Coturnix japonica: one gene and its partners. The protein of the gene in region 3 interacts with the protein of the main gene of each other region in a biochemical or structural test. Links are inferred from orthologs where the notes say so. Each region holds a gene or a part of one and is shown on either strand. Other genes may lie near its edges. The genes, in order: DUSP3, DUSP1 and MAPK1.

Evidence for each region.
Region 1: of the proteins of MAPK1 (region 3) and DUSP3, one has a biochemical effect on the other in vitro, tested with the Homo sapiens proteins (2 studies listed by BioGRID and IntAct). The link is inferred for Coturnix japonica from reciprocal best matches to the Homo sapiens genes MAPK1 and DUSP3.
Region 2: of the proteins of MAPK1 (region 3) and DUSP1, one has a biochemical effect on the other in vitro, tested with the Homo sapiens proteins (2 studies listed by BioGRID and IntAct). The link is inferred for Coturnix japonica from reciprocal best matches to the Homo sapiens genes MAPK1 and DUSP1.

The regions. Positions count from the first base shown.
Region 1 is NC_029542.1:2,873,730-2,877,475, reverse strand, and holds the start of DUSP3 (dual specificity protein phosphatase 3), read right to left. Parts: upstream 2,474-3,746; coding exon 2,352-2,473; intron 1-2,351. Other genes in the region: ras-related protein Rab-18-B-like, read left to right, coding at 2,624-2,694, 2,793-2,848, 3,156-3,217, 3,704-3,746. UniProt on the Homo sapiens protein: Shows activity both for tyrosine-protein phosphate and serine-protein phosphate, but displays a strong preference toward phosphotyrosines. Specifically dephosphorylates and inactivates ERK1 and ERK2.
Region 2 is NC_029528.1:10,950,999-10,954,744, forward strand, and holds the start of DUSP1 (dual specificity protein phosphatase 1), read right to left. Parts: upstream 2,310-3,746; 5' UTR 2,169-2,309; coding exon 1,799-2,168; intron 1,679-1,798; coding exon 1,530-1,678; intron 1,422-1,529; coding exon 1,202-1,421; intron 693-1,201; coding exon 322-692; 3' UTR 1-321. UniProt on the Homo sapiens protein: Dual specificity phosphatase that dephosphorylates MAP kinase MAPK1/ERK2 on both 'Thr-183' and 'Tyr-185', regulating its activity during the meiotic cell cycle.
Region 3 is NC_029530.1:386,079-389,824, reverse strand, and holds the start of MAPK1 (mitogen-activated protein kinase 1), read right to left. Parts: upstream 2,533-3,746; 5' UTR 2,309-2,532; coding exon 2,166-2,308; intron 1-2,165. UniProt on the Homo sapiens protein: Serine/threonine kinase which acts as an essential component of the MAP kinase signal transduction pathway. MAPK1/ERK2 and MAPK3/ERK1 are the 2 MAPKs which play an important role in the MAPK/ERK cascade.

The DNA of each region.
Region 1 (3,746 bases), on a different chromosome or scaffold from region 3:
GAACACTGGGCTTCAATCCTCCACTCCCTACTATGGCACTTCTAACCCAGACCATTCAATTCTGACCATACTAAGAAAATACAGGGGATAACAGAAACGCTATGATTAACCATAACCATAATTAACCATATGTTAATTTAAGAACCAGTTACAAACAGCCTCTGCTGGAAGCCACCAATGCTGCTTCTCAGAAGCATTTTGAAACACAGAAAGTAAGATATATGTTATCACACTATATGGTTGCATGGGATGGTTATCACCCAATTCAAGGCTATGTGAACATGTAGAGCAGAGCATTCCTTTTCTCCCAATGATCGTTCACCCCTTAAGTTATCCTTATGCACGAATCCTTATGCATGAGTGAAGTTTCTCCATCTCCTCTCGGTGCCAAACAACTGCGGCAAGGGGCCAAGCATTTGTAAAGACTTCATTACCCAAACAAATGTTGACAGATCTTTTCCATCTGGCAGGACATCATCTGTGCCAGGGGACAAGTGTCAGTGCCCAGGGAATTCTGCTTGCAATGCAGGAGTAAATACTACAGAGCAAGGCCAAAACACCATCACCCATCACCCTATCATGTGTTAATGCACCTGTGAGTCCCTCTGCTTAATGCAGTGAGCACATGGCACAAGGAGCAATGCATATCTGATTGTGGTTGGGATCAATGTGAACCTGCTTTGCATCCACTCACCCAAGCAAATAAACCACATCTATAATATGGAGCAAGAACTGCCCGACAGGACAGTTTTCTACTGTTATGTTCTCACTAAATTGCTCCTTTACCACTCAATTTAATGTTAATTTGGGGAGAATGCCTTTCAGATTCCTTACTGCACTTTGAGCCCCAAGAATTGCTTTGTGGGTTGACCATACACATTTAAACAGCCAGAAAACCCAGCTATGTGCTCTGCAAGCCTGGTGAAGATGCATTCTGTCCAGCTGTTCCGCTCATTGACTACAAGGTTACACTCAACTGCATCCTGATTTTGGCAGTGATAGGAAATTATTTGTACTTCTGATATCATCTGAATTGTCTGCTTGAAAAACACACTTGTGTGAACGAATCTAATAGTTCTTGTTTTAGCGATGTTACACTTTGACTCATCTTCAGAACTCTTTGATCGCTATGGAAGTTTACAACCTGTCTGCTGTGCTACACAAAAGCTCTGTCATTTCACCTCTGTGTCTGCATTACTGATACCTTCCATGGGAGACGTGGCACTTGATAGACAAATTGCCATCCCACGCTGTGACCCCATTCAGTCTCACCCTCCTGAATGTCTCAGCACTGTTACTTTTACCCAAGGATGAGTCGTTCGTAGGTAAAACTCTTTGTGGATGTCATTACTCCATATATTCTCTGATATCAAATCCCTGCCCTTGGTAGCTGTGGGAAAGGCCTCACATTGCAGGCAGTGCTTGATCCCTCCAAGCCAGAGCGTGGAGGTTTGTCAGAGCAAACAACTGCATCGCCTTATTCTCCTGCTCCCCCCCCCATACAGCAGCTCCACAGAGATCCTAATGTTTGTGCAGTGAAGGCTGAAATGGAGACGTGAGCTGAGCACAGAGCTGACACGAGCAGATGCTGGAGCAGAATGGGATACAGGAATGCACTGCAGACACAAGGCCTGAGCAGCTCTGTGTGCACAACAGCTACTGCTGCCCTGTCATCTCAACCCTTGGATATCTGTGGGCAAGGATAGGAAGGAAAAGGGGAATCACAGAACTGCAAGGGTTGGAAGGGACCTTCACTGAGTCCAACTCCCTGTACAAACAGCCCCCTACATCAGGCTGCACAGGTTGGCATCCATATGGGGCTGGAATATCTCTGTAAAAGGATACCCCACCATCTCATTCCAGGGCTCCATCACCCTCACCATGAAATTCTTTTGCATGTTGGTGCAGATCTTCCCATGCTCCAGTTTGTGCCCATTTCCCCTTGTCCTGTCTATAGAGACCGCTGATAAGAGGCTGGCCATATCCTTTTGCCTCCCACACTTTACAAACACCAATAAACCCCCCAATATTAGAAGGACTTAGAAGAAATCAGGAACTTCAAACCCAGCACGGGACGGACGTGTCTCACTCCTGAACTCTGAGTTGCACTTCAACCCCTCCACCCTCAGCCGGGTTCTGCAGCAGGTACCATTTATGGGCAGCACCCGCTGGGTGCCATAGGAGCCCGTATAGCGCCGTGCTCTGGCCCTATAGCTTGCCAAGCCCTGCCGGTCCCCGTAGCTCCCTAGGGAGGCTGGGGGTGCCCTGGGGGCAGCCGGGGGGCCCCTCCCATTGCTCGCAGCCCCTCGTGGGCCGCCCACCTCGGCCCGGCCCCAGCCCGGCGCACTCACGCGTTCCCCACGTGGATGCGCGGCACCACCTCGTTGCTGTGAGCGCTGGGCAGGCTGTAACAACCGCTGCCGTTCGCCAGGAGATCGTTCAGCTCCTCTACCGAGATCCTGTAATCGGACATGGCCAGGCCAAGCCGTATGTACGGCCCCGTTAGCTCCGCTGATCGGTTCCGCCCCGTTCCGCCCCGCCCGGTACCGCCCGATCGAGGGGAGGAGTTGGAGTAGCTGCTCCGCCGGAGCGGACCGACAGCGGGCACTGTGCGGGTACCGGGATGAACATGGACGGGAACGGCATCACTGTGAAGCTGATCCTGATCGGAGACAGCGCCGTAGGGAAGTCCAGGTGGGGCCGGACCGGGTCGGGTTGGGTTAGGTCGATGTTGGACTTGCAGCTCCTCGCTGTGTATCTCAATGCTGAGTGCCGGTGTTGTGTTCCTGCAGCCTCCTGCTGAGGTTCGCTGAGGGTTCCTTCGAGCCGAACCTGAAACCGACCATATGTGAGCCGAGATTGGGGGGGGGGGATGTGAGGGAATGGGGGCTATGGGGTTTTGGGGTGATATTGGGTGTGATATAGGGTCAGTGGGGGGACAGGGAGTGCTATGAGGGTACATTGGGTGTATGGGGATGGGGAGTGCTGGGAGGGTATAGGGTGCTGTGGGGATAGGGAGTGCTATGAAGGGACACTGGGTGCGAGGGGATGGGGGCTTGTGAGGAGCCATCCCATGGGGGGATGGCAGTGAGGAGCTGCAGACACCCCTCTTCTTCCACATCCCACAGCCTTCCCTATCTTATTTTGCATCTTAGGTGTTGATTTTAAAGTGAAGAAGATGGTGGTGAATGGCCACACGGTGCAGCTTGCAATATGGGTACGTTTGATATAGAGGTCTCCTATAGGGGCTGTACTGTGTGTGTTGGCTGTGTTCTGAGCAGAGCCTTGCTGGGGGCAATAGGAAACCTCATAACCACACAGGGATGTGCCTCTTTGCTGTGGAATGGAAACCTCTGCAGGTTGTGTAGCTGGTAAAAGGTGCTTTACAGCAATAACAACCATTGGGAGAGGCTGCTGATGAGCTGGAAGGGAAAACTGGTGCTTGGAGAGTGTTAAATAAAGGCTTCGATGCATGTACCAAGCATCAAAGTAAAGGAGAGGCTTTGACTTTAGTATCTGTGTGCTCATGGATACACTGGAGTATAACCTGCTTAGTAAGCATAACCTGAACTAAGTTGCCTCTTTATTGTTTGTGGGTTTGAGTATTCGGGACATAACTTAGCAATCATTGAATAAAACTTGTTTTTCTTCTTGTTTTTTTTTTTTGCTGCTTGTGTGTGTTTCCTTTTCTTTTTCCCCTTAGGACACAGCGGGCCAAGAGCGCTTTAGGACCCTGAATCCCAGTT
Region 2 (3,746 bases), on a different chromosome or scaffold from region 3:
AACATCAGTGTTGCTTAAAGTGTCCAGGAATGGGAATACTGGTGAGCAGGCTACTGAACATGCAGCAGGCTTAGGACAAACAGAAGACAAGGGGAACAGCTCAGGAAAACGCAGCATCCTCTGATCTCTGCGTAGGCATCCCAATATTGGCTTCAGGAGCCAGCAACACACAGAACACTGGTTGAGCTCCTCGTGTGTACAACAGCGTTCTAGGACAAGTGGATGGTTCCCCACAGGACAAGTGGCTGATGATACTGTCCCCATAGTTATTGCACTTCTGAGACAAGAATTGTGAGTTCTGGTCACGCTTCTGCCTGCCTTTCAGCAGCTTGGGGAGGTGGTGATGGGGCTCTGAAGGTAGCTTAAAGCACTGGATGAGGTGTGAACAGGGATGGAGACTGGGAAGTTGAAGACTGTGGTGGTCGATGCTCCTCTGTCCAATACTGACATAGCAGGGCTCCCAGCTTCTGCTGAGCAGTTGGGGGCAAGAACCTGCGACTCAAACTGCAGCAGCTGCCCCATGAAGCTGAAGTTTGGGGAGATGATGCTCCTTCTCTGCTTCACAAACTCAAAGGCTTCATCCAGCTTGACTCTGTTGGTCCTCATGAGATAAGCGAGGCAGATGGTCGCCGACCGGGAAATGCCAGCCTGGCAGTGCACAAATACCCTTCCTCCATCATTTTTAACAGAATCTGAAAGAATTAAAACGCCCAGTTAACAAACAAGTCCCACTGCCTCTGGAGGTGGGAAAGCAAAGGCTGCTGCTTTCCATCTCTTTGTTTCATCCCCTCCTTAGGAGCCCAATAGGTGAGCCCTGTGCTTTGGAGACAAAGAGCCTTTGTCCTGAGGGAAGCTGCAGTCTAGCTATTCTCATTCTGGGCTCCAATTCCAATTATACTAATAGCTCCTCCGGGTCACTTTAGCAGTCTTGCAAGATTACTTTAATACTGATCCACTTAAATTCACTAGCACTTTTCTAGAGGATACCATTTCTCTTGGCTCGAGGTTTCTAATGGTTTGGCAAAGCTGAGATTATCCCTCTCTCAGCCCAGAGAAAGTGATGGGCGCATCCCCTAAGAACACCTAAAACAAAGGTTCCCCGATCCCAAACGCAGGCAGCGCTGGGGAGCACAATGCCCTAAAAGCCACTCCCGAAGGGACGTCATCCGAGACAAAAGGATCGCAGGGAAAGCTCATTTACCTATGAAATCAATCGCCTCGTTAAACCAGGAGCTTATGTCGGCTTTGTGGTTGTCTTCCACAGGGATGCACTTGTACTGGTAGTGCCCCTCGAAGTGGTTGGGGCAGTTGGCCGACACGTTGATTAGCGCCGTGATGCCCAGCGCGTCCAGCATGTCCTTACGGGAGGCGTGATACGCGCTGCCCAGGTACAGAAACGGCAGGATCTCCACCGGCCCGCCCTGAAACAAAAGGGGCAGATGCCCGGTTAACATCGCTCGGCGGATTTACGATTCCCGTCCTTTCTCCCACGAGCGGCGGGGCAGCCCCAGCCCGGATCCCGCACTCACCTGGTCGTACAATGGGGTTCCGCAGGAGCTGCACCCCGAGTCGGCGCTGCCGGGCGCGCTGCTGGCGCTCAGGGGCAGACTGAGCCCGGTAGGGGCGGCGGGTTTGGTGCACAGCTCGGAGCAGGCGGCCGAGAACGCTTCGTATCCTCCTGCGGGGCACAGGGGAGAGAGGCGCGGGGTGAGCGCGGCGTGGAGCGGGGCGGGCAGAGCCCTCAGCCGGCGATACGGCCAACCCCATCCCGCAGCGGCTTTTGGGGCCGCGCACTCACCCTTAAGGAAGCAGATGCGGGCACCGCGGGTCTCCCTGCACAGCGTGCCGAGGGCCAGCAGCAGCGTGCTGTCGCGCTTGGGCAGCTCCAGGTCGGCGCTGCGCTCGTCCAGCAGCACCACGGTGTGAACCTGCCCCTGGCGCAGCCGGGTGCGGAGCTCCTCGTTGGGTACAACGTGCTCCAGGGCCAGCACGCCCTTAGCGCGGCGACGGACGATGGTGCTGAGCCGCACGTTGCAGGAGCCGCGGATGTGAGCGGCGTTGAACGAGAAGAACGAGCGGCAGTCGAGGACGAGGCACTGAGCGGCGCGCTCCTGCAGCAGCCCCCGCAGCGCCTCGCACTCCAGCGCACACACACGTAGGTTCACCATGGTCCCGTGCTCGGTTCCGTCCGGTTCGGATGGCGGGGAAACAAAGCGCTGGAGCTCGCGGAACAGCGGGATCAGACGCGGCTGGACGCGACTCAGCGCGGCCCCGTGCGAACCCACCCGCCTTATATCGTGGCGCGCCGCGCCGCCGCCGTTTTCTCAATGGGGCCGGGTCACGTGATCCTGGGAGCAGACGTCACCTTGGAGGCGCGCCAAACAGGGCGCGCCCCGGCACCGCCGGTATGACGTCATCGGCGCGGGAGCGCGCCGGCGCGAACTGAGAGGCGCGGGGGCGCGCTGGTTTGTGTGTGTGTAAGAGTATAGACATACACACATAGATAGGGTTACATGTTACACGTGCCTGAACATACACACATATAAATACCCAAAGCTATCACATTTCTCTACATACAGGCACACACCATGGATATATATACACATACAAGTGCATAAACACACTTATACACACATATAAATACCCAAAGCTATCACATTTCTCTACATACAGGCACACACCGTGGATATATACACACACACACACACCATGGATATATATACACACACACACACCATGGATATATACATATCCGAGAACCAAACATCCACACCATGGCTATATAAATACGAAACACACACACACACACCATGGATATATATACACACACACACACGTATGTGAGTGTGTTCACATGTCCAACAGCAGCACCGTGAGTGGATGCAGGCGTGGGAGCAGTCCTACAGGTTCTCCTGCAGCACATAGAGATAAGCGCACACAGACAGGGATTGGTGTTTGTGCATAGGCATATATGCGTGTACGGACACATCTACACATCAATATATGCACATGTGTGCGTATATTTGCATGTATATGTATAATGTAAACGTATCTGAGAGCTGTTCTCATGTTTCATATGTAAGGATAATCTCGCAGTAGACCTGGGGAGGTTCATTTTCCGCACAGCAGGTTCCCCAGCAGTCAGGGCAGCCCAGTACCCGGCAGTGAAGCCATTGGAGCTCTGTTTTTCCCCCCTTGGTGTTGTCTCAGCACTTCCCAAAAGTCTGCCTTTCCCCGTGGGCGCTCAGCTTCCACCGCAGCACTCAGCTGTTTCTTGCTTTCCGCTTCCCGTCAGCGCCGCATTCACTTCCCCTGCCTCCCCAGCACTTCTCCCCTGCCCCACACGCCAGCACCATCCCTGGCTTCAGCCCTTCTCCCCCAGTCCCTTCCCAGCAATCCCTCTTCGCCTGCTCCACCTGCGTTGCTCCTTCCTCGCACCATTCAGAATCTCTAGCTTTCAGCAGCTTTCTCTCATCACTTCCTTTCAGACTTCCTTTCTTCACCCCAGATCCCCCAGCCATCCTCTCCCACCCCCCTGACAGTTCCCCATCCCCCAGCCCTGCAGCCTGTCGGTTCTCAGCCTTCTCGAATTTTCCAGTTGCTTCTCCACCAGTTTCCACCAATCTTCATCCATCCTGACCTAAAACCAGCCCGGCACCTCATCAGGTTCAGTGCTGCAGGGCTTTCCAGGCTCCCCAAGGGTGTCAGGAGGAGGAGACACAGGGAAGGATATGGGTGAATGAGCA
Region 3 (3,746 bases):
TGAACTCCCTAATTCAGCGATGTGGAAACATAACACTTGTGAAAAATAAGCGAGTGAGGGATTCCACTAAGAGTTAAGCCACCCATTTTGCATATAGCAAGCCTTACAGCACAATGCATTTAGAAATAACCAGCACCTTCTGTCTCATACACATCAGCTGACTGCCTAAAACAAAGCCATTAACGCTTGCCTTGCTGTCCTTTCTTAAGAGTACAAACCTAAATGGCTTTTCAATAGCAGGAGCTGTCTCCACCTGCACCCTGTGGCTTTGCCCTCTGCCACCCCAGCCCGGAAGGGAGATGCTCTGCAGATCTGCACTGCGTTACAGTCAAAGCAAGACCCGGGACACGCAGTACGAATCTGCATAAGCTCTACCTGCACTGCTCAGTAAGCACTGTTACTTAACCATAGTAGTCGGTGTGCTGCGCTGCAAGGCATGACAGTTGCTATGGCATTCAGCTGGAACATGTGCATCCAGCACCTCCTTTGTCAAACACGCATAAACTGAGACTTTGTTCCCTGGCATTTCACACCCAAGGCAGAAGATCAATAATTACAGTGCAATGTATCACGTTCAGGATTTCACACCAACAGCTTTAGAGAAGAAAACAAAGGAGCCAAATGAATATCTCAACTAAACTGGAGATTCAGAATTTTTTGTTAAGAAATACAGATAGCATTTGAAGCAGAATATCATTTAATATGGCAAGTTTCCAAACAGACGATAATATTCCACAGTTTCAGAGAGGAAACCCTTCCATAACAGAATGGAGTGACACACCGTGTGCAGGGGAAGAGAAGGACCCCGTTTCCCTGTCTGCTCCCAATCACGGTGACGCCAAAAAAGGGCATCAGCTGCCACCGCACTGCGCCGTGCACAAACATCTCAGCGTGAGCAGCCGGCTGCGGCACCACCTCGGTACCGCACGGCACGGCGCTGCTCACAGCTCCTGCCTGGATCGCTCTGCGGGCACCAAGCTCTGCTGGGGCTGCGAGCTGCCACCCGGCTCCGCTGATAAAGGCACACAATAACAACACCTGGAACACGAGCTCTGGACGGGCCGTTGTTGTGACTTCCAGCACTAAACCAATAACAAGGTTATTTTTACACCATCAACGGGAGCTTTTGTTTTTTTTGGTTTATGTGCTGGAGCTTCTTCCCACAACACAAAAGCAAAGGCCGCAGCTTTAAAGTTCCTGGCAGATGTTTGTCTGCCTCCCCAGCAGCTCAGGAGCGGCTCCAGCTCCCACCAACACAGCTCGGCCTCACCGTGACGGAGCAGCACATCCCCACAGCTGCGAGAGGAAACCTGCAGATCCACAGCGTGCAGCTGAAGGCAGCAAGGCAGCTCTGCTGAGCGATACACTGCGGTTTACAAAGCACGAACCGACAGAGAGAGAAAGCAAAGCTGCTACACAACCATAGCTGCGAGTGTCACACAGCACCTCCGGTCACACAACACACCGGGAAGCGCCGCGATGGGCCCGTCAACGAGGAGCTGCGTTTCCCATCCACAGCCGCCCATGCAGAGCAGGTGCCCCGAGCCGAGCACGGCCGGCCCAGCCCGGAGCTCAGCGGCAGCACCGCGGCTCGGCCCGGCACGTCGGGGCCGCTGCTACAACGCCAAAATCTCGCGATCGTTGTCCCGCATTTCGCGGTTGGCGCTCGGAGCTCGGACCGGTCGGCGCAGAACGCGCACACACGGCCCGGCCGCCGCCTGCCAGCCGGGCAGGGCCGAGCGGAGCCACCCGGCCGCAGCCGCAGCGGGAGGCCCGGGCAGCAGCAGCAGCAGCAGCAGCAGCAGCCAGGTGAGCGCCGCACAAAGGGACAGCGGGGCCCAGGGCACAGCGGGGCAGGGCAGGGCCCAGGGCAGGGCAAGCGGCGGCCGCCCGGCCTTCACCTTCACCTGCCCCGCCCCGAGGCCGCGCGGGCCGCTCCCGGCCGCACTCACACAGCGCCCCGAGCCGTACTCACCACCCCATGCCGTACTCAGCACACTGTGCCGTACTCACCACCCCGTGCCGTACTCAGCACCCCATGCCGTACTCACCACCCCATGCCGTACTCACCACACCATGCCGTACTCACCACCCCATGCCGTACTCACCACCCCGTGCCGTACTCACCACACCATGCCGTACTCACCACACCATGCCGTACTCACCACACCATGCCGTACGCCCCCTCTCCGATGTACGAGAGGTTGGTGTATCGCGGCCCCACGTCGAACACTTGGCCCCGCACCATCTCCGGGCCCCCGGTGCCGGTAGAGCCGCCCGCGGCCGCGGCCCCCGCCACCGCCGCCATGTTGTCCGTGCCGGGAACCGCGGCGACTGCGTGCGGGGAGGGGAGGGAGGAGAAAGGAGGGGACGGGAAGGAGGGAGCGAGGAGGAAGGAGGCGGCTCCGCCACACCGCGCTGAGAAGCACCGGCCGGAGAACGGGCCGCGGAGAACGGAACGAACCGACCCGCCGAGCAACCACCGCCACCAGAGCGGGGACGGGACGGGACGGGAGGGGGCGGGGGGCGGGGCGAGACCGGGGGGGCCTCGGACTGCGGTAACCGCAACCGACGGGGAGGGGGCGCGGCGCGCGGGTCACGTGGGCGGCGGGTCACGTGGTGGGCGCGGCCGCTCCGAGCGCCGCCATTAGAGGAGTCAGGTGATGGCGGGAGGAAATGGAGACCGGGATGGGGGGGAACGGGACGGGACGGGACGGGACGAGCACGGCGGGTACGAGCACCGTGCGGGGACGAGCTCCGTGCGCGTCGCTCTGGGCCGGACACGCAGCCGTTCCCGCGGCTCCGTGTCCGGCGCTACGTGCGCGTTCCCGCGCCCACACGGTGCTGTCACACACGGTGCTGTCACACACGGTGCTGTCACACGCAGCCGGGCCGGGCCGTCTGTCTGAGCTGACATTAAAGCATCAGTGACAGAAGGAATGGGAAGGTGTCTCAAGCAGGTCATTGGTTTGATGGCTGAAACACGGCGTTATGTTGAGGGGATGCTGATACCACGAAATGACGGCGGGTAATGACGAGTGGAGAGAAGAAAATGAACAGCATCATTGGGCTTAGAAAAAGCACAAACAGCTGCCCCACAGTGCTGCTCTTGGGGATTTCGTTTTCTCTGCTAAAACTCAAACTGAACAGTGATGCAGGAAACTTAAAGGTAGTTTATAGAAACAAGTAAAGGAAACTTAAAGGTAACAAGTAAAAGAAACAAGGGGCCTGGGAGAAGCAGGGAGAGTGCTGTGCTCTCAGTGCTGTGCTCAGTGCTGTGCTCTCAGTGCTGTGCTCAGTGCTGTGCTCTCAGTGCTGTGCTCTCAGTGCTGTGCTCAGTGCTGTGCTCTCAGTGCTGTGCTCTGTGCTGTGTTCTCTGTGCTGTGCTCTCAGTGCTGTGCTCAGTGCTGTGCTCTCAGTGCTGTGCTCAGTGCTGTGCTCTCAGTGCTGTGCTCAGTGCTGTGCTCCCAGTGCCCCGTCGTCCAAACCAAATGCAGACATCCAGTACAGAAAGCAATTTTCCAAGTGTTATTTAAGGAGACTTCAAGCCTCTGCCTGGAGGAGAAGAAAGAGAAGTAAGACATGTAAGGCATTCTATAAAGATGTATTTTAACTTCTAAGGCAGTCAGCAACCATGGTGATGAATGTGACACAAACTGAAATTGCTCGGATATGAGCTCTGATCCACTGGGAGCCATCCTAAGAGAGTCATAAAGAGCATCAGATGCTAATGACTTCTAATCAGA